Linked DNA regions of Drosophila melanogaster. The gene in region 1 interacts genetically with each later gene. Each region holds a gene or a part of one and is shown on either strand. Other genes may lie near its edges.

The links.
Region 2: of grim (region 1) and EcR, changing one suppresses a phenotype caused by changing the other (phenotypic suppression), as found in Drosophila melanogaster (2 studies listed by BioGRID).
Region 3: of grim (region 1) and Diap2, changing one suppresses a phenotype caused by changing the other (phenotypic suppression), as found in Drosophila melanogaster (one study listed by BioGRID).
Region 4: of grim (region 1) and Buffy, changing one suppresses a phenotype caused by changing the other (phenotypic suppression), as found in Drosophila melanogaster (2 studies listed by BioGRID).

Annotation. Positions count from the first base shown.
Region 1 is NT_037436.4:18,302,203-18,306,002, forward strand, and holds grim (grim), read right to left. Parts: upstream 2,216-3,800; 5' UTR 1,898-2,215; coding exon 1,481-1,897; 3' UTR 517-1,480; downstream 1-516. UniProt on the Drosophila melanogaster protein: Activator of apoptosis, independent of rpr and hid, that acts on the effector Dredd.
Region 2 is NT_033778.4:6,128,783-6,133,664, forward strand, and holds the start of EcR (ecdysone receptor), read right to left. Parts: upstream 3,060-4,882; 5' UTR 2,336-3,059; coding exon of another isoform or gene 2,284-2,335; intron 1-2,283. UniProt on the Drosophila melanogaster protein: Receptor for ecdysone. Binds to ecdysone response elements (ECRES) following ecdysone-binding, and recruitment of a complex containing the histone methyltransferase trr, leads to activate transcription of target genes.
Region 3 is NT_033778.4:15,931,652-15,936,837, reverse strand, and holds Diap2 (Death-associated inhibitor of apoptosis 2), read left to right. Parts: upstream 1-2,012; 5' UTR 2,013-2,040; intron 2,041-2,120; exon of another isoform or gene 2,121-2,257; 5' UTR 2,258-2,267; coding exon 2,268-2,639; intron 2,640-3,018; coding exon 3,019-4,054; intron 4,055-4,117; coding exon 4,118-4,206; 3' UTR 4,207-4,668; downstream 4,669-5,186. Other genes in the region: Mlf (Myelodysplasia/myeloid leukemia factor), read left to right, coding at 258-378; bug (bunker gear), read right to left, coding at 998-1,857, 1,915-1,942.
Region 4 is NT_033778.4:11,677,900-11,682,521, reverse strand, and holds the start of Buffy (buffy), read right to left. Parts: upstream 3,031-4,622; 5' UTR 2,936-3,030; intron 1-2,935. Other genes in the region: Roc2 (regulator of cullins 2), read left to right, coding at 4,157-4,316.

The DNA.
Region 1 (3,800 bases):
CGTCACCTTTGCTTTTTAACCCTTTTGGGTGGAGTGTGCCTGGCATGACACGACGGGAAAATTCTCTGTCTGCCCTTAACCAAAAATGTGTTTTCCCTTTTAAGGTGACATATTGGTTTTGACGATAGCGATCGCTAAATGTTTGCTTACTCCGCCTTTTCCTGGCAGGACGGTTATCCTTTGCCATTTCATTGCCCAAAATGGAATACAAAGGCTTAATTCATAAGCGGTTATTAAAAGAGTGTATTAAACAAAATTTCATATTATTTTGACGTATTTTTTTATAAAAACTTTGGTGAAACAAATAAATATTCTTTTGAATTTATTTTAAAAACGTTTTAGTTTATTTTTAAAATATTTTAAAAACGCTTCGAATAATTTTTCAAAAACATTTTAATAGAGTTCTACACCTCCGAAATAAAAGGTAATTAAATATATATATCTCGGCAATGGTGTTGGTAAAATTCTTTATGTTTTTCTGAAAAGGGACAATAATAATCGTTCAAAGTATTTTTTAATTTTTTATAAAATTGTATTTATTTTTTGCTTGTTTGTCTTATAAAAATTTTAATTTCTTACAAATGCTATCTTTACATGTGATTAATTTCAATATTTCTTGTTTAATTTGCAATGCCAAAATTAAAATAATATGTTTTGAATTTTGCTAAAATCAATAATAATGATAAGATACATTTCAAATTTTGTTATTCTTGATTATTCGTATCAAAATTGCTTAAATGTTTGTTGTTGTTTTGTTTAATTTTTGTTAAAATGTATTCTGTTCGGCGGTTCTTGTATTCTATTTTTTGTAGACGTTTTGTATTTTCTCTCTTTGTTGTAAACATATAAAATTTGCTGTTTGCTTAAAATCTATTTTGTACAATTGAGTTGTTGTCTTTTGTTATTCTTGTTGCTGCGGTTGCATCTTTGTTTTGTTGTTGGTTCTGTATTGTAGTTCTGTAATATTAGTTTACGATTTATATTTGTAAGTAGTTGAAATGTAGTTGAAGTAGTTGAAGTAGAAAATTTGACAATTATTTGTTAGTTGAGTACGATACTTGTGGTTTTGCTCATACGTATAGACACTAATAAGGTTTATGACAATTTTACACATTTCTCTTTATGCTCTCTAAATGTTGTTAAGTATGTTTATGTATTTGAACCAACCGGGAAACCTTTGCTTGCAAAATTAAACATTTTTTCAAAACTTATATCGGAAAATTTGACATCCAAAAAAGTAACAAACAACCAAAATCACTTTAAGCAAGTCGATGACAAATTTTGAATTTTCTCTCTCTCAAAAATAGTTTAAAAATAGTTTTCTTATTTTGTTGTGGAAATATCCCATGTTTTACAAAACTCGTTCCTCCTCATGTGTCCATACCCAAAAAAGAAATCACAATGCGCTTTGATTGAGCCTGCCTTTCCCAGAAAATCCCAAAGATTTTCTCTCCACCAGGATGAAATATGGAAACCAAATTTAGTTCTCCTTGGAGGTGGCATCAGTCACGTCGTCCTCATCGTTGTTCTGACCGCCGCTGCTGATCTCGAAGGATATCTGAATGACCGTCGGTTGACGCTGGCTCGAACTGTAGCTGTAGATTCGCAGAGCGTAGCAGAAGATCTGGGCCAAAAGATCCCAGCATCCAAACTCCGACATGGTCATCGATCCCTGTTGACTTCCCAGCGGCACGGAAATATTGGCACGGAATTGTGGGCGCTGTTGCTGATGATGATGTCGCTGCTGCTGCTGCTGTTGTTGCGATTGTTGCTGCTGCTGCGATGGTGCAGCAGCTGTTGCAGTTGTCCTTGGACTCGCTGCTGTCTGCTGGCCGTTTTGCTGATAGCTTCTGGCCAACAATTGGGCCTGGTCGGGTATGAAATAGGCGATGGCCATGGCGGTATTTAATTTAATACAAAATGTGATTTTACAAAACGTATGAATCTTTAAAAAAATATATAACTTTAGTGTAGCATATATTTTTAATGTTTGATTTCAATATCGCTGAGGAATAATATATTCCATTCACTGCTTGCACTTTAAGTCTTGTAAGTCTTTATGTTTCGTATCGAGCACTTGGAAAATTTTTCTGACTCATTTGGCGGGAAAACGAACGAGGAAACTTGTCGCTTTTTGACGAACTTTCAACTGCGCTTTTCGCTTCCGCTTGTTATTCAATGTTCTCTCGTCGAGGTTTCAGAGTGGACTGACTGTAAATATCCTTGCTGCAGTCACATTTATAAAATAGCTCTCTTTGTACTTTCCTATAGGAAGCGAGTTCCTCTCTCGCAGTGAATGTCACCCTCCCAATTTCCACCACCCCCCGGGAGTTTGTGTGTATTGTGTGTGTGCTTTGTTTATGCCAACAACCAACCAATTGAACCACCAACCACAGGAACCCACACCACTGACAATGTGCCACCACCACCGCCAGTTTACCACCCCAAAGACACGGCTGCCTTTGTTACCTTTACTTCGGAACTAGAAAGGGGGTGGGAAAGTGGCTGAGAAGCGGTGAGAGACTCGGGAAATGAGAGCGGAATTGGGGAAAATCATTTCACGTAAGAGTGCTACGTCAAATAAAACGTAAGCTCTTTGGGATTTCGTTGTTCGAAGCGCGGCATCGAATTCATTTCGAATTTCAGGGGTTAACTTGGGCGTACTTGCTCTAGCTGAGTCTAGCAATTTTGAGGGGAAGTTTGGTCGTCGTATGCTCATTTCGAATTTCGAACTTGGATTTCACTACGGATGAATCAACAATTGTTTGTTATGACATTTTGGTTCGCATAGAAACTGATTTTTGGTGATTAAATGCAATTTAATCTTGCTTATTGTACCTATTATTAGTATAATTATTATTTTCAATATTCATTAATGGCAAACAAATTTATACCAGGGACCAACGAGATCTTTTCTTACATTGTATCACTTTGGGTTATTTATAGTATACTTCTTTACATACTTAATATATTTCAAAACAGCGGAGTCTCCTTCACCTAAAATCTCTTGGAACCACTAACCCGCTTTCAAGTTAAGCATCCTTCAACTCAAAAAGCTTGCACGGCAAATCTTTGATGCGAAAACCTTGCGTAATGGTCCTTGAAGATTCCCCCTATTGCAGCCTTAAACTTGACCATAACAAAGGGCACCCAAATGGATTGACCTTCAAGCTAACGCGAATCCAGCTCCCTCAAACATTATGCTGACGACAATTTCAACCTTGGAAAATGTTTGATCCCAGCTCCCCCATTTTCCGTTAGCTGCAGCTCATCCATTATGATAAGCTGTTCCCGGATAGTTGCAAAGTCAAGAAAGCAGTGGCTGTGGTAGAGGGGTATGAAGAAAGTATACTTATGCAAAACTGATTATAAGAAAAATTGAGAATAATTTTTGGGTATAATTTCATGAAAAAATAAATTTTATCAATAATGTAAATTTATTGAATTTGTTTTATATAATTTATTTACAATCATGATGAATTAAAATCTTACATATGGAATAAATCATAATAACGATTTTTTTTAATTAGACAAGTATATTGTATTATCTCCTCCTCTGTCCCAAATGTTCAATAAATGTCATTTAACACTTTAACATTCCAGAAAAGGACTTCCAGGGAGCGGAAAGCATAAAGCCAATTGAGCTTATTTCCTCCCCCTATGTAACATTTTTGCTGAGGGAGCTCCAACAAGGCCATCGCCAAGGCCAAGTCCGCCACTTGTGGGTGATGTTCCACAAGTCTCCTACCGGCAAAAGCTTTTTATTTCTCACCCAACTGGCTTCAAGGTCGTGCCGGCCG
Region 2 (4,882 bases), on another chromosome or scaffold:
TTGTTTTGTCTGGACTGTGGAAAGTCATGGAAACTCTCTGTCATTGGCGATTGTCTGCGAAAGTGTTGGCAGCTCGACTTTGTTGCTGGTCTGTGAAAGTCCACAAGAGCGTCGGGGAGAAGGCACAACTCATTCCAAGCTCGATTGCTTTATGGCAGGCTACTCTTAACCGCACATACACAAATTAGGTCCATCCAGACCGAACGGGAAGGAAAACCAGCTAGAAAAGGCTGACAAGATAAGGCACTCAATGCAATTGATACAAGAGCACATACAATGGCACCTGTTTGCCATTTCTGCCATTCCCGTTCCCCATTTCCATCCAGGGGATGAAGAACGGAGTGGTGTTCTGTCTCGTGACCCACTGGTCTGCACCCATTAGTATCGTCGCCCCCAGACGCGGTTACATTGAACCTTTTTAAAGGGGGGTTGTGTGTGACACTTTGGAAACAGTTGTGATATAAAATAAGGTATTTCGATTATCCAGGGTCATTTTAATTCGTGCGGATTTGGTAGTCATAATTGTTGTTATGTCTGTGGTAGGACTTTCAGAACACTAAGCAGATCTTTTGATCGTTTCCATTTGCTTGTATAATTTCTTCATGTCAAAGTCATTTAGCTAAGAACCCCAAACTATTGTAAAAATGCATAGAGGGTTCGACATAAAAGCACTGGTAACTCGGTTTTCTCAGCCTGGGCGAAGCCACAACACTGAATCCCATGTATAGACATACATGTGTCTATATATTTGCATAAAATCGCATTAAAATTTGCCATTTGGCCACTTTAATGTCCCATAAAACATAAACAACAGCAGCGAAGACGAAGTTGTCGACGCCATAGGATATAAGTTACTTTTTTTGTGCTCTTTGTTTGTGTCCAGAAAGTGTAGCAAAGAAGAAATAGCGAAAAACTTAATGTGCAAAAAGCAGTTGGAAAAGAGAATCTTTAGTCGAGTGCTTCGACTAAAAGATACCCGCTAGCACGTTTAAAACTAAATCTACAATTCTGAATTATGTGCATCCTGTAGAGGAATTTCATTTAAAAACCCAGCTTAGGGCTTTTGAGCTTATTCGAATTTCTAGGAGCTTTAGATTGGACTTGGCCGAGACTAAAAATAAACTTGCACAGCTCAGTCATCGTTAGAACTTAAATGCTGTGTGAGTAAAGGGTATCAAAAAACAGAGCCATGAAGTCGAAAGTTTAACCAGACCCGCCCAGGAAACGAAGGCCAACGGGTGGCGGTAAGTCTGTGTCGTCGGGGGGATGGAACAAATTAATTGTGGGAGAGTCAAACTAATGTTGGGGACTTTACTGGAACCTAAGCGCAAACCTAATGCTGTTACCTAATGCCTCATTAGGCGCTTTAAAATAGGGAAGCCCAAGCGCACAAGAGGACTCGCCTTATAATGTATAATAATATATCGCAGTACCTATTAAACAATATACCAAAAATAAGATAAATAAATACTACACATTTATTGTAGAATTGAACATTTAACAATTGAAGTCATTGGATCCAAAAAGTGAAGTCTCTTCAGACGAACAGCATTTACATGTTCCACAATTTTACCTTCTCCAACACGATTCAAGTGCCCAATCTGTATCGAATCATTTTTGAGCGTTCTTTCGGCACTTAATAAATCGAATACGTTTTACACCGAATTAAACCTTATCAACAGAATATATGTGAAAATCAGAGTAAATCTGTTGGCTGAATTCACTGAATGCCCACTTGAATTTATGGAAATACATGCCAATTACGCAGTCGAGTGCTTTCCTAGACCGACATGCACATATTCGTCTACACCGGGGATCTATGGTGGCCCGAAAGAGGCTTGATTATGTTTACGCAGGCGAAATACACAATTTTCAACGTTCTGTCTTGACCGTCTGTCAGTTGTCATGACCATAATTAATGTATTGCCAATCGAACCCCCATCCCAAGCATGTGTATCTTTTTGGGACATCATAATGTCTGTATGTACAGCATGTATTCAGCTATGCGAACATATGATCTGTGTATCTTGGCATTGAAAAGATCTAATGGTAATGTAGTTTTCATTTCGGCTGGATGAATAAGAAATGGAAATTGATTTTGCGCACGCGAAGTGACAAGTGCGCCAAGACAAACACATTAGGGCCTGAACAAATCGAAAATAGTTTTCGGCTCCGAACAGCGAACTTGTTGCCTAACTCAGATCTTTCGTTAAGCAGTTGACCACAAAATGTTGTTATGGAAAAGCGCTTGGTTCTATTGGATTCCAAGGTGCCCACACTCACCATATGCGTCGATATAGTGCGCCAGTTCTGCTACTAATCCACAAGTATCCATGGGCCCACTGCGTATTTGAACAAAAGGTATTCCAGTTGACAAAGCACTATTTGGAATGTTGAGTAAAATCTTTTCACTACCTTTATATATATGTAAGGGGATCGGGATCCACGGCACAAATCCCTCACTCACTCGCGCACTATCTTCGATATATGTACATATGTAATATTGTGGATGCGGAAAAAGTCTCCGGCTCCTGGCAAAGCGGAGCTAGCGTTCCACAGACCACGACTAGACGGGCGTCTTATGTCTGTGTGTCACGTTGCTGATGTTTGATTTCGAGTTCTGGCTTCGTTGTTTCCTATTTACATTTCGATACCGCTGTATTCCCTCAGCCGCAGTTTGCACTATGCAGCCGCCATATAATATCTGTACAAATATGAATATATGCTCTCGATTTGCGTTATTTTAAGAACTATTTCCTTTTGCTTCTTCACCACTTATGTATGTATTTTTACTATTGTTTGAGTTTCAGCTACAATGCATTTGCACTTTATATTAATTTTTGCCGATGAATTGCACTTGTGTTTGTTGCGGTTGTTGGGGGAACTGGTATTATTTGGGATTTGTCTAACAATTTTTCATAAATATATGTAGGTGTATATGTGATTTAAACATTATTTGGTTACAACATTTTGGGGGTTTTCGGTTTTGAAATGTAAGGTGCTTTGGGAAACCGTACTGTTAGGTTGTCGTTTTCAATTGTGTGTGCTGTATTTTGTATCTTGTTTTTTGACGAACGCGATCGGGCTTCGTACGTGCGAGCGAACAACCGTTAACAACAAAGTCCAAAAAAATACTAAATCAATGAGCGAGACGAGCAGAATGTTAAACGCTCAAACTCACCACACTGGCACGCACACCAAAGTAAACTCACCAGACACGCACACCATGGCGCTAAAAGAGCGAGAGTTAAAAGCGGAATCGGCGCTAAAGATAAATGTGAAACGCAGGCAGCACTCACTCACACAGCCACAGACACACACTCTGAGCAAGCGGCTTGAATGAAAATGCCGATGCAATTGCAATCGTGGAATACTCTTTGTCCGCTCTCCGGCACGTATCTGTGAGTTGTGTGCGAGCGTATATGGCCGTGTATGCGTGAGTATGAGTGCCATCATCGCTTTCATTTCTTGCTGCTTTATTTTCGGTTTTCTACATTTATTTATTGTTTTTTTTTTTCGTTCGTTTTCGTTCATCGCTACTTTCGGGTGCACAAGTGCAAATTCACACGTATGTACGTACATTTGAAATATTCTCGCATAGTGGGACGAAAGGGTCCATAATAAATCGGAAGGAGTGCCACAACTTGCAATAATTAAAAGTAGGATAAGTTGAAATATTTAGCTTAAATTACAGTCTCTCTACTTCACCTTTTCGATACATTCCAAGTTTTATTTTCAATAATCTCTAACATCAATTGCATTTTTCAGTGTCCCTTTAAACTTTATTATTTGAATACATATATGTAGCAAATATCTCAACAAGAAAACAATGAAAACGTTTCATGTGGCCAAAAATACTTTCTCACGTCAGCTGAATGAATAATAAATAAGATCGAGTTAGAAAACCATAGAGAGTCCTCCGAAGGACTGTTTTCCATTCGTTGGAAGGGAAATCCACCTGAAGTCAGTAGACACCGCTGTTTGAAGCAGAATATTGACACTACGAGACGTAATTGACGGAAAGGAAAAAGATCACCAGGAGGGTAAACAGAACGCAGATCAAACTAACAGCCACAACAGTATCTATGAGTATGTACGTATGTATACATACACATACACGTATCACCGCCGTCTGCTGGGCGACGTATAAATTGCACGTTTCGAATACATTGTGGTTAAAAAGTCAGCGCAAAGCGAGCTGAGATACTCAGATACAGATACGCACACATCGCTGCAGATAATTGTTTGCCCATCCCTTCCCCCCACCACCAGCCCCATCATTCGAATCGCTACGTATTTACTTAACGTCGCTGTGTGCGTTGAGTTGACGCTGGGCAAGTTCAAGTGTAGAATGCAATAGAGAATTGCATTTGCCAGAGCGAGAGAGACGACCTCGCTCTCTACGCATACGCATAGAAAAGCCGGCAAAATGCAAGGGCAAGGTGGTGCGGGACTGTGGGGGTGGTCGTACTGACGGTGACAGTGGTTAGCATGTGGTGAGTTTCGCTCTGTTTGGGGTTGGCTAGACACATTGAACCACAAAAGTTCAAGATGAAAACACAAAATATCAACAATGACAGCTGAGTAGTGGGGACGGCAGCGGCTTGGTGTCGGGGGCGTGAAAGAGACTTTGCCTCTCTCTATCTCTTCCTATGTTTCTCTACTTCTATTTGTTTGGGTATACCAATACAAACACAGCTGCAACCCATAACTGCGTCTATGATGATTTTCTTCTCTTTCGTCCTTCCCCACATTCTCCACTCCTCCACACGTCTCGTTCCCCTCTCCTCCACTATCCTTTTCCCTCTTGGCCGACTGCCAAACGACTCTCAGTTCAGTAGTACACTGGAGCAATTGCTTAGAGTATGGGTGCAACATGTAT
Region 3 (5,186 bases), on another chromosome or scaffold:
GAACTATGTTGCTGCTGCTGTTGCTGCGCCACCACTGAACGACATAATGCGCGAATCCTACGAATCCATCACTCGCTTGCCCACATCATCCATTAATGCTCCCTTTGACCTTCTCTTCCTGTTAATAAATTTTCACTTGCGTTCGAATTGGCCTGTGTACGAATGATTATTATGTATACCTTTTGTTTTGTATTGTGCCTTATTCTAATTAATCGTTTCTGTTAATTAATGAACATTTGTTTCTGCTCCGCCAGCAGCATACATCCACATCCCTATGCCGCCAATCCGAGGCGCCAACAACGTGCCGTAAAACATTTTCACACGGAGGACGAAGCGGCCAGCTCCTACAAGGCGGTCAAGCGCGGCAAGAAGAAGTAGTAGAAACGTGATCATCTGTATGCCAACATCTTCCGCATCGCACACTCAAAAACACTAGGAAGCAAAGCGTTGGGTTCTGTTCCATAGCAGGAAAACCAATTCAAATATTTTTTAACAAACACAATTCTTTACCAGTTCTGTCTTATCCTGCGTGAGTCGACCAGAATGCAACACTAAAAAATGTACAACTTCAAGATGCTATTGATGTGCACGCAGGATACAGAACAACTTGCTTAAATTTACTTAAAACAAATGTGACTATTCAACGCCGAAATCATTACAACACACACTCTCAGACCTAATCGAAAAATTCAATGAAAGTAATGGAATATATATGAAATCGTAATTATAAGTTTGAATTATTTGATTAATTCTCAAGTTTTTAGATTTTGTTAGCCACTAAGCTTTAAATTATGGATGCCAGTTAGCGTGCAAATGAACACAATTGATTTGAAGGCTCCGAACGATAGAAAACAACAATTACCAATTCCCCAAATACATGTAATTCGTAAGGCCTAAGTAAATGTTAACGTGAATTTAATTAAATGGTAATTACATTATAATAGTAAATCCAGTGTTCTACTTATGCGACTTATAGAGAATTAAACGTATTAACTAACTAGTCCACCATCTCCATTTGCGTCTCCTCGGATTCCCGCCAAATGCGCTGCACCATCTCTACCAGCTGCTTCCAGAGCGCCGTCTTACGCAGGAAGTTGGCAAGGCAGACGAGAATAAAGGCCCAAGCCAGGCCCAAATAGTAATCCGTCTGCACAATGGGTTTATTAGACAGCGGCTCCATCTCTGCGCGAGTGAGGATGATCGGATCAATGGCCTGCGGATTCACAGTCTTCATATTGGTGTGACTCATTATGAAACTGGCAAAGCTGCTCTTTGTGTCCTTCCACCCGGGCTCGAATTTGATTAGCGGCCTGCCCTGGTGGAATAGCATCAGTGTGGGCAGCGAAACGATGCCGAATTCTGCATTGAAACGACCAAACTCATAGGCATCCACATAGGCGATGGGTAGCGTGGGAAAGTAATGGGGCAGCACGTTGACCATCGAAGCCACACGAGCGCACTCCAAGCTGGATGCGGTGCAGAAATGGACAAGTACACAGTTGCCCGGCTCGTGGCGCTTGGTGGCATTGCCCATGGGCTTAAGCAGATTCACTATATCCTTGGCACTGCGCATTATCAGCAGTTCCGGCTCGGATGCTGTCTCATTCTCGATATCCCGCTGCAGGCACTTCATCATAATAGGTGGCTTTCGAACCGGAGGCAGCTGGTTTAGGTGCATGATGTGCTCGTCATCCGGGGCACATGTGTGTCGCTCCTTCAGCAAGGTTTCGAAGCTATAATGGCACTGGCCCCGCGAAACTCCCAGGGAATACACCGTCAAATTTGAGAAGAGCCCGAAATACTGGAGGGCACTTAGTAATCCGGAGAGTTCCGCCTGGCCCTGCGCGGCGCAGAGCACTGTGGAAGTGGTATAATGTTACTGATTGAAGAACTCGATATAAATAAATAACGTACAAAATACAAACAAGAGATTTTGGTTCATTATATCGTTGGTTGGACAGCTGTTGAAATAGTTGGCTGTTATATGGCACTCGTGAAATACCTGGAAACTTCTTAGGTTTGGATATACCGAATAGCAAGGTAAACTGCTTGACCTTGTTTTTGTAAGCAGTGCCCATTAAGTTGGTATTTCATCGATGAAACATTGACGATGTATCGAAAAACATCGATGCTTATTTTTACATCGCTACAATAAGTTTATATTTTTACCTTACCTTATTTTCATTTTCGTCTGCGCTCGCTGGTGATTCCCTTGGTGGCATTACATCATTGGTGGATCCATTCGGATCCAATTTAGAAGCGCCACGATGACGGAGCTGGGCATGGAGCTGGAGAGCGTTCGCCTGGCGACATTTGGGGAATGGCCCCTGAATGCCCCAGTTTCCGCGGAGGATCTGGTCGCCAATGGTTTCTTTGCCACGGGAAACTGGCTGGAGGCCGAGTGCCATTTCTGCCACGTGCGCATCGACCGCTGGGAATACGGCGATCAAGTGGCGGAGCGCCATCGCCGCTCCTCGCCCATCTGCTCCATGGTTCTGGCTCCCAATCACTGCGGCAATGTTCCCAGGAGCCAGGAGAGCGACAACGAGGGAAACAGCGTAGTGGACAGCCCGGAGTCCTGCTCTTGTCCCGATCTCTTGTTGGAGGCCAATCGCTTGGTAACTTTCAAGGACTGGCCGGTGAGTACCCTGAGCTGGTGTCGCTCGCTTCTGGTGATTCACCATAGCGGGTCATTGTAATCACTATAGTTTCAGTTTCAAGCTCACTATAAGTGCATATGTAAGTATGATTGCGTAGTTAAAAAGTAGCGTAAATGAGGCCAGGAAAATCCCGGTCGAAAGTATCAATGATATTTTTGTATACAAACAAGAAATGTCTTGTTAGCTGCCTCAATTCAGCTGAATGTTGATTGATAATCCTACGAAATTAAGCTTTAATTAAGATATACAAAAATCATTATGAACTTCAAATGAAGTTATTGTATACTGTATAATTTCAAATATTTTTAATGACTGAATAAGATAGTTTAACTTTAGCCCAAAACGTCTTCCTTTGTAGAATCCCAACATCACGCCGCAGGCTCTGGCAAAGGCAGGTTTCTACTACCTGAACCGTCTGGATCACGTGAAGTGTGTTTGGTGCAACGGAGTGATTGCCAAGTGGGAGAAGAACGACAATGCCTTTGAAGAGCACAAGCGCTTTTTTCCCCAATGTCCTCGTGTGCAAATGGGCCCCCTTATAGAGTTTGCCACCGGGAAGAACCTGGATGAGCTGGGCATCCAGCCCACCACTCTGCCACTGCGTCCCAAGTACGCCTGCGTGGACGCCAGATTGAGAACCTTCACCGATTGGCCCATTTCCAATATTCAGCCCGCTTCGGCTTTGGCGCAGGCTGGCCTATATTATCAGAAAATAGGCGACCAGGTGCGCTGTTTCCACTGCAACATTGGATTGCGCTCCTGGCAGAAGGAGGACGAGCCGTGGTTCGAACACGCCAAGTGGTCGCCAAAGTGTCAGTTCGTTTTGCTGGCCAAGGGTCCAGCCTATGTAAGCGAAGTGCTCGCGACAACAGCTGCCAACGCCAGTTCCCAGCCAGCAACTGCTCCGGCTCCAACGCTCCAAGCAGACGTACTGATGGATGAAGCTCCGGCCAAGGAGGCCCTAGCCTTGGGTATCGATGGAGGAGTTGTGCGCAATGCCATCCAGCGCAAGCTCTTGAGTTCCGGCTGCGCTTTCTCTACGTTGGACGAACTATTGCATGACATCTTTGACGATGCGGGCGCAGGAGCTGCACTGGAGGTGCGCGAGCCGCCGGAGCCAAGTGCTCCTTTTATTGAACCATGTCAGGCCACCACCAGCAAGGCAGCATCTGTGCCAATACCGGTGGCCGATTCCATCCCAGCCAAACCACAGGCAGCTGAAGCAGTGGCGAATATATCGAAAATCACAGACGAAATACAAAAGATGTCGGTGGCCACGCCGAACGGAAACCTATCGCTGGAGGAGGAAAACCGCCAGCTAAAGGATGCACGCTTATGCAAGGTATGCTTGGACGAGGAGGTTGGCGTAGTGTTCCTGCCCTGTGGCCACTTGGGTAAGTCGCTGAACTATACCTTGATTGCCTTGAGCTGTAGCTAACTTCCTGTTAACCCGACAGCCACCTGCAATCAGTGCGCCCCCAGTGTAGCCAATTGTCCCATGTGCCGCGCAGACATCAAGGGATTCGTGCGCACGTTCCTTTCGTGAAGTGCATATCGACATCATTTAGAGTTCACCAGCCTAGTTAGCAGTTAAGCAAATCGATTGATTGCACCCACACAAACTACTACAGCGAAGTTCAAATTATCCGGTGATTAGCTAATATAATCGTCTACTAATCGTCTACTAAGTACTTGGCCAACTGCAGCTATTCGTTTTTACATTAGCTACGGTTGTAAGTTGTCGTTACTAACTATCGCATTGTGTCCGAGCGCATCCCTTTTGAACCATACATTATGCACGCTGAAATGACCTTATATAGATGAGCAGCTCTAATTCGCGCTGAAAAGGGTATCAATGCACCGGCACGACCGCAGATCACATGGATTTCTTGTTATAGTACTCTTATTAACACATGTATGTATTTTTGTTGATCATGTTTATAGGCCGCTGATAGTATGGTTTACACACAACTATATGCATTCTCCAATAAATGTATATGTAAATGTTAAAAAATTTGTCTTTTCAATTGCAAAAATTCTTTAAAATAATTTATTTATTTTGCTAAGTTTTAAATCCCAACGGTCTTCAAGTGATGTGCCCCGAGAGATTAGCCTATTAGCTTGCAACAGTCTGATTCCACTGCTCACAACTATCTCGATATCATCGCCATGCACGGTTCGATACTATCGATAGTAGCATCGATGTTTTGACGGCTCTACTCAAAAGTACCAAAATATTGGTATCCAAGCAATCGTTTTCAGCTCTCCGCGTGAAGTCGTGTGCGCTGCTCGTAAGGGAGCTCCATTGAGTTCTGGTCGCGAAAAACTAACAAGCTCCAACGCCAAGAAGTGCAGAAGATAGTGAACAAAATTTAGAAGAACCGAACCGAAGCTACGGGGAATTTTATGTGTGAAATCGAAATTACCAAACGCGCGCTCGTGTGAGTATATTCTGCGAGTATTTCAAAGGAAGAGTTCAAGTGTGTGTGTGTGTGTCTGGTGTTGCTGCTGCATTTTACGGAGTGT
Region 4 (4,622 bases), on another chromosome or scaffold:
AAAATCCAATAATTAAAAATGAAAAGAACTTCGAAAACCATAAATTTGAAAACATGTCATAATCGTATGTCATATTTCAAATGCAAGATTATATATAATACTTCTTAAACCACGAAACATAAAATGCTTAGAAAATGTATATATGTACATATATGATCTCTTTCTTGGTTAAGCAGTTAATAACTTTTATTATTTTTAATTTCATTTTTAATATGCCTGAACTTTAATTTGTATACCTGTATTTTCATAAAAATACAGCAATTTAAAGGAAATAAAATAGCCTTTTAACTTCTAGACAGCCTACCCATTTGATAACTTCTCCCTCGGCGATTCAACTTAACTATTTGCAAATTAATTGGATTACACAAGCTGTTATTTATTTATGCACAATTAGTGCAGTAAAACTGCTCTCTCAACACCCAATTATTAATGCTTTCCGATTGGCCGGATCACAAAAAATATAACTAAATCAACAACTCGGAATCGGCGAGTTGCGCGCACTCATTAGCAACTTTTATTAGCCAAAAGTGTCAAATGCTTTATCTCGGGCTTGGATTGGCCCAAACCGAGTTGCCTTAAAGCGTCGCCAGGCATTTCATTTCATTTCATTTTATTTGATTTCATTTTTTGTTTTGCCATTTTTTGCCAACCTTATTGGCCGCTCGACTCGTTTTTATGCGTTTTTAGCATTGTGCGCATGTTAACATTTGTGTTATTGATTTTTTACAACATTTGACAGTTACGCAGACTCCGTATTGGAATTTCGCATATCTTTTTGTATCTCTCAGTTTGTTTGCTTGAATCAAATTCGCGGAGCGCATGACAAGCGATTTGGAGCAATTTGACTTTCGACTGCTGATTGGTTAATCAAATGTGGGTTCATTAAATTGCCATTTTTTTTTTTTTTTTTACATTTAATTGCATATTTGATCGCCGGACCGAAGTGACAGCGCATAGTAATACTATATCATAAACGACACATAAAGTGCTTGCAAATAGCCGCAATCTTGCGGTTTTACTGCTTTTTGTTGTATTATTATTATTTCATTATTTTTTGTTGTATTATTTGTGGCCATTCGGCTTGAAATGAAAATGGGAAATTAGCAGACGGTAAAACGCCTCTGTTTGACATCGTTTGCAATTGGAAATTTACACCATCCTCAGACGTTACAGGTGGCAAACATTGTTCAGTTCATTAATTGTTGATTTTGCACTTTTTCAACCATTCAGCCGCCAATGTGCGTCATTCAAATCGAACGTGCACGGCGTTAAAGCCAAGTTAATATGGTCTAAAGGGAGGGGCAAGGGGGCGCAAGTGCTTTTCGCCAGTTAATTGCATTTACTTCTCGAGGCTTTGTGGCATCGGGGGCATGAAGTGATCTTGTTCGAAATCCCTAAAACATTTGCACTCATACTTGGAAAATGGGTGTTGCAATTGAGCATTTATTGGCATTTTTAAACATTAAATAAACACACTTTTGTGATGGAATTTGGTTTTTAAATATACCAGATAGTTACTTTTGAAATGAATTATGACATTCAAATCTTGAATATATGTACAACCTGTTAAAATATGCTTTCTGAAATTTATATGTACATGTTCGAAACTTTGCTATAGTTTCACATGCAAAATTTTAAACACTTTTGTATATACTCGAAACTGCTCTAAATGAAAATTTACTGGTAAGCTGTGGAAATTTATCGATCTAGCTTATAAGGAAAACAAAACTGCCTTTAAGAGTTTGATTTTATTTTTTAGCGACTAGAGTTCCACTTTATACGATTATAGATACACCCACAAAGTGTCACATTTACCATCGATATCTCTGAGATACAACACCCCCATATGTACATACACATGTACATATATCTATAATTTTCGCTTAAAAATCATAAACAATTTAACCGAATAGACCCGGTAAATCAAAGTGTCCAATGCCTTTGTCAATAAACATTTGTCGTTCCACTAATTGCCAGCGACCAACTTACAAACAAACAAACAAACAGAAAAGCATGAAAAAACAAGAAAGAAATAGCAGAAAAAAAACCAAAAATCATTTATGGCAAAGTCAATTGCGCTAGTGCTATCTCTTTCGCGCGATGTGGGTGGAAGCATTACGTTGATTATCCAGCAAAGCCAACAACAAAAGCAACAACAACACACTCACACACGCACACAGAAAACAACGAAATTTAATTAAATTAAACTTGCTGTTGGCCTGTTTCTCCTTCAGCTGCTACTTCTTTATTCCGGTTAAAAAAAAGGGCGTTCAACTCAAGGGTTTTATTTTGCAATTATTGATATTTATCCGTATCGCTTTTGACACTCATTTGTGTTTAAGTCTACGAAATGACCTTTATCTGTTTAAATTTTCATTATTTGTTACTTCCACATTTGTTTGCGGTTGTATTAAATTGCACATTTTCATTAGCCACAGGTGATATTTGCTCTTAATTGGCATTTAACACGTCGTCATTTTGTAAGGCTTATGTAGATTTTACATTTGCTATTTGAAAATTTATTGCTTACTGTGAAAAACAACTAATTTCTCCACATTTATTTACTAAAATACCACTCCCTTAATCGGCTTATCGCACATTTGGCATCGGATCGCATTGATACGGGATGTTTATCTTTGATTGTCGGATGCGCCATTTGTGCTGATAGTGATAATGGGTCATTTGCCATTATCTTTTTCAATTTCAGTTTACGATGGGCGAATAATAAGGCTGAACTGTTAGATTCCGGCTGAGCGGCATGGAAATTACTTAATTACTTATGCGGGGCGCGTTCTGGTTGGCAACGGAATCGGAATCAGGTTGCTGTATATTCACGGTCAGCTTTTGTCGTTCGAAGGTTTTCATTTTAAAGTAATCACCGGAAACCGCAAATAATTTATATTGTCAAATTTGTGTTAGTGCATTGGAAACCAACCGTTTATTTCCCAACGCAAGCTGAAACTTGAGAAGCGCGGCCGAAAAACGCTGCCGCAAACGTTCCGCACTCGTCGAAGGCTGAAAATGAATTGAACCGAAGTTGAAGTAAGCGAAAACCAAATCACAAAACAAATTAACCGCCTTATCGATATTTAATTATCGGTCGTCGATAGGTGTGTCCGTGCATATAAGGTGAATGTATCCCCTAAATGGCTGTGGCAACACTGAAAATAGTTTTCCCTTGTTTTGGTGTGGCCACACTGACTTTTGGCTTGCTATTGTTTACATTCAATTATTTCGACTTCTTATTTGTTGGTAAGTCAAACCGGCGGTTCCTTATCATTTGCCCGAAACTAAGCAAGAAGTAGGAGTGAGGTTAACAACTTAACGAACACTGTGATAACCTTTCCTTCGTATACAACTGAGAATGGCATTTCTTTGTTCTCGGAGGAAGAAGTAACTTTTTGGCAAGTTGAGCAAAACATTAAAATTCGTATCAGCCACTTGCTACGAAAGTAAATTACATTTTTACCAGGGATAAGTGAGAGGCTTTATAGTCTATCCCCCTATTCCGCAGCTACCAATATTCATAAAACAAAAAACAATCAAGAAGAATGCGCTTAGTCGAATGGCTCAACTATCAGATACCCGTTACTCTGTTCCCTAATACTAATATACCGTTTGTTCGTAGAATTATCGCCACCAGTTGGAAGGAAGCAACACCTGTTGATCATTTTTGAACTTTTCTACTTGTAGCTCTCCTACGCCTATTAAGCATATTTTTCGAGTAATATTCCTAATATTTGTATAATTACCTTATTTAAAATCCTAAACCTGAGTTACGTACTGATGTCCGGACCTGGTTAGACCACTTTGCCATTTGCTAATAATCAATAACTAAGATAGGTCCGGTTTAGAGTTTCTAATACCCTATAAATTAACAGTTAGAAAAATATTTAAAAACGGGGTCGAATAAAACTTAAAATTGTTTACCAAATAAAAATAAAAACATAAAACATTAAAGGGAAATTAAAAATAAAAGAACCTTAAAAAATTAATATATTGTATTGTAAAATTAAAAAACATTTTTAAACCGCTATTTGTAATACTAATTAAAATCTCCCATACAGGAGGATATACACAAGAAACAAAAAAAAAATATTAAAAAACCGAATCTCATTAGCCCAGTGGATTGGTCAGTTTCCCAGACTTTTTTGACATGGCTGATGATCCAGAAAACTCAGTGGATAGGCCCACAGACGACGGAGATGCCGGCAAACCGGAAAAAATGTTTACGCTGAAGAAATGGAACGCAGTTGCAATGTGGAGTTGGGATGTGGAATGCGATATCTGTGCCATTTGCCGTGTTCAAGTTATGGGTGAGCAATACCACTGATTTCAAAACTCTAATCTTGAGTATTAATAATAATAAAAGGTCCTACATATGTAACAATATGTAACTAGAATATTATTATACTGGTGTCTTTGTTAACACTATCTTGTGCATATCGCAAGCGAAAATGTTTTTTACTCACATATACATAAGTGCCTAAAAACTTTCAATTGGTGTATTTTTCAACGGTAATTTTGATTTATTGCGCTTGCCTAAAAATTCACAATTTAAGCACGAAGACACCACCCTACTATTTGGTTTGAACGCATCTCAGATCCTTAGCAACACGCCA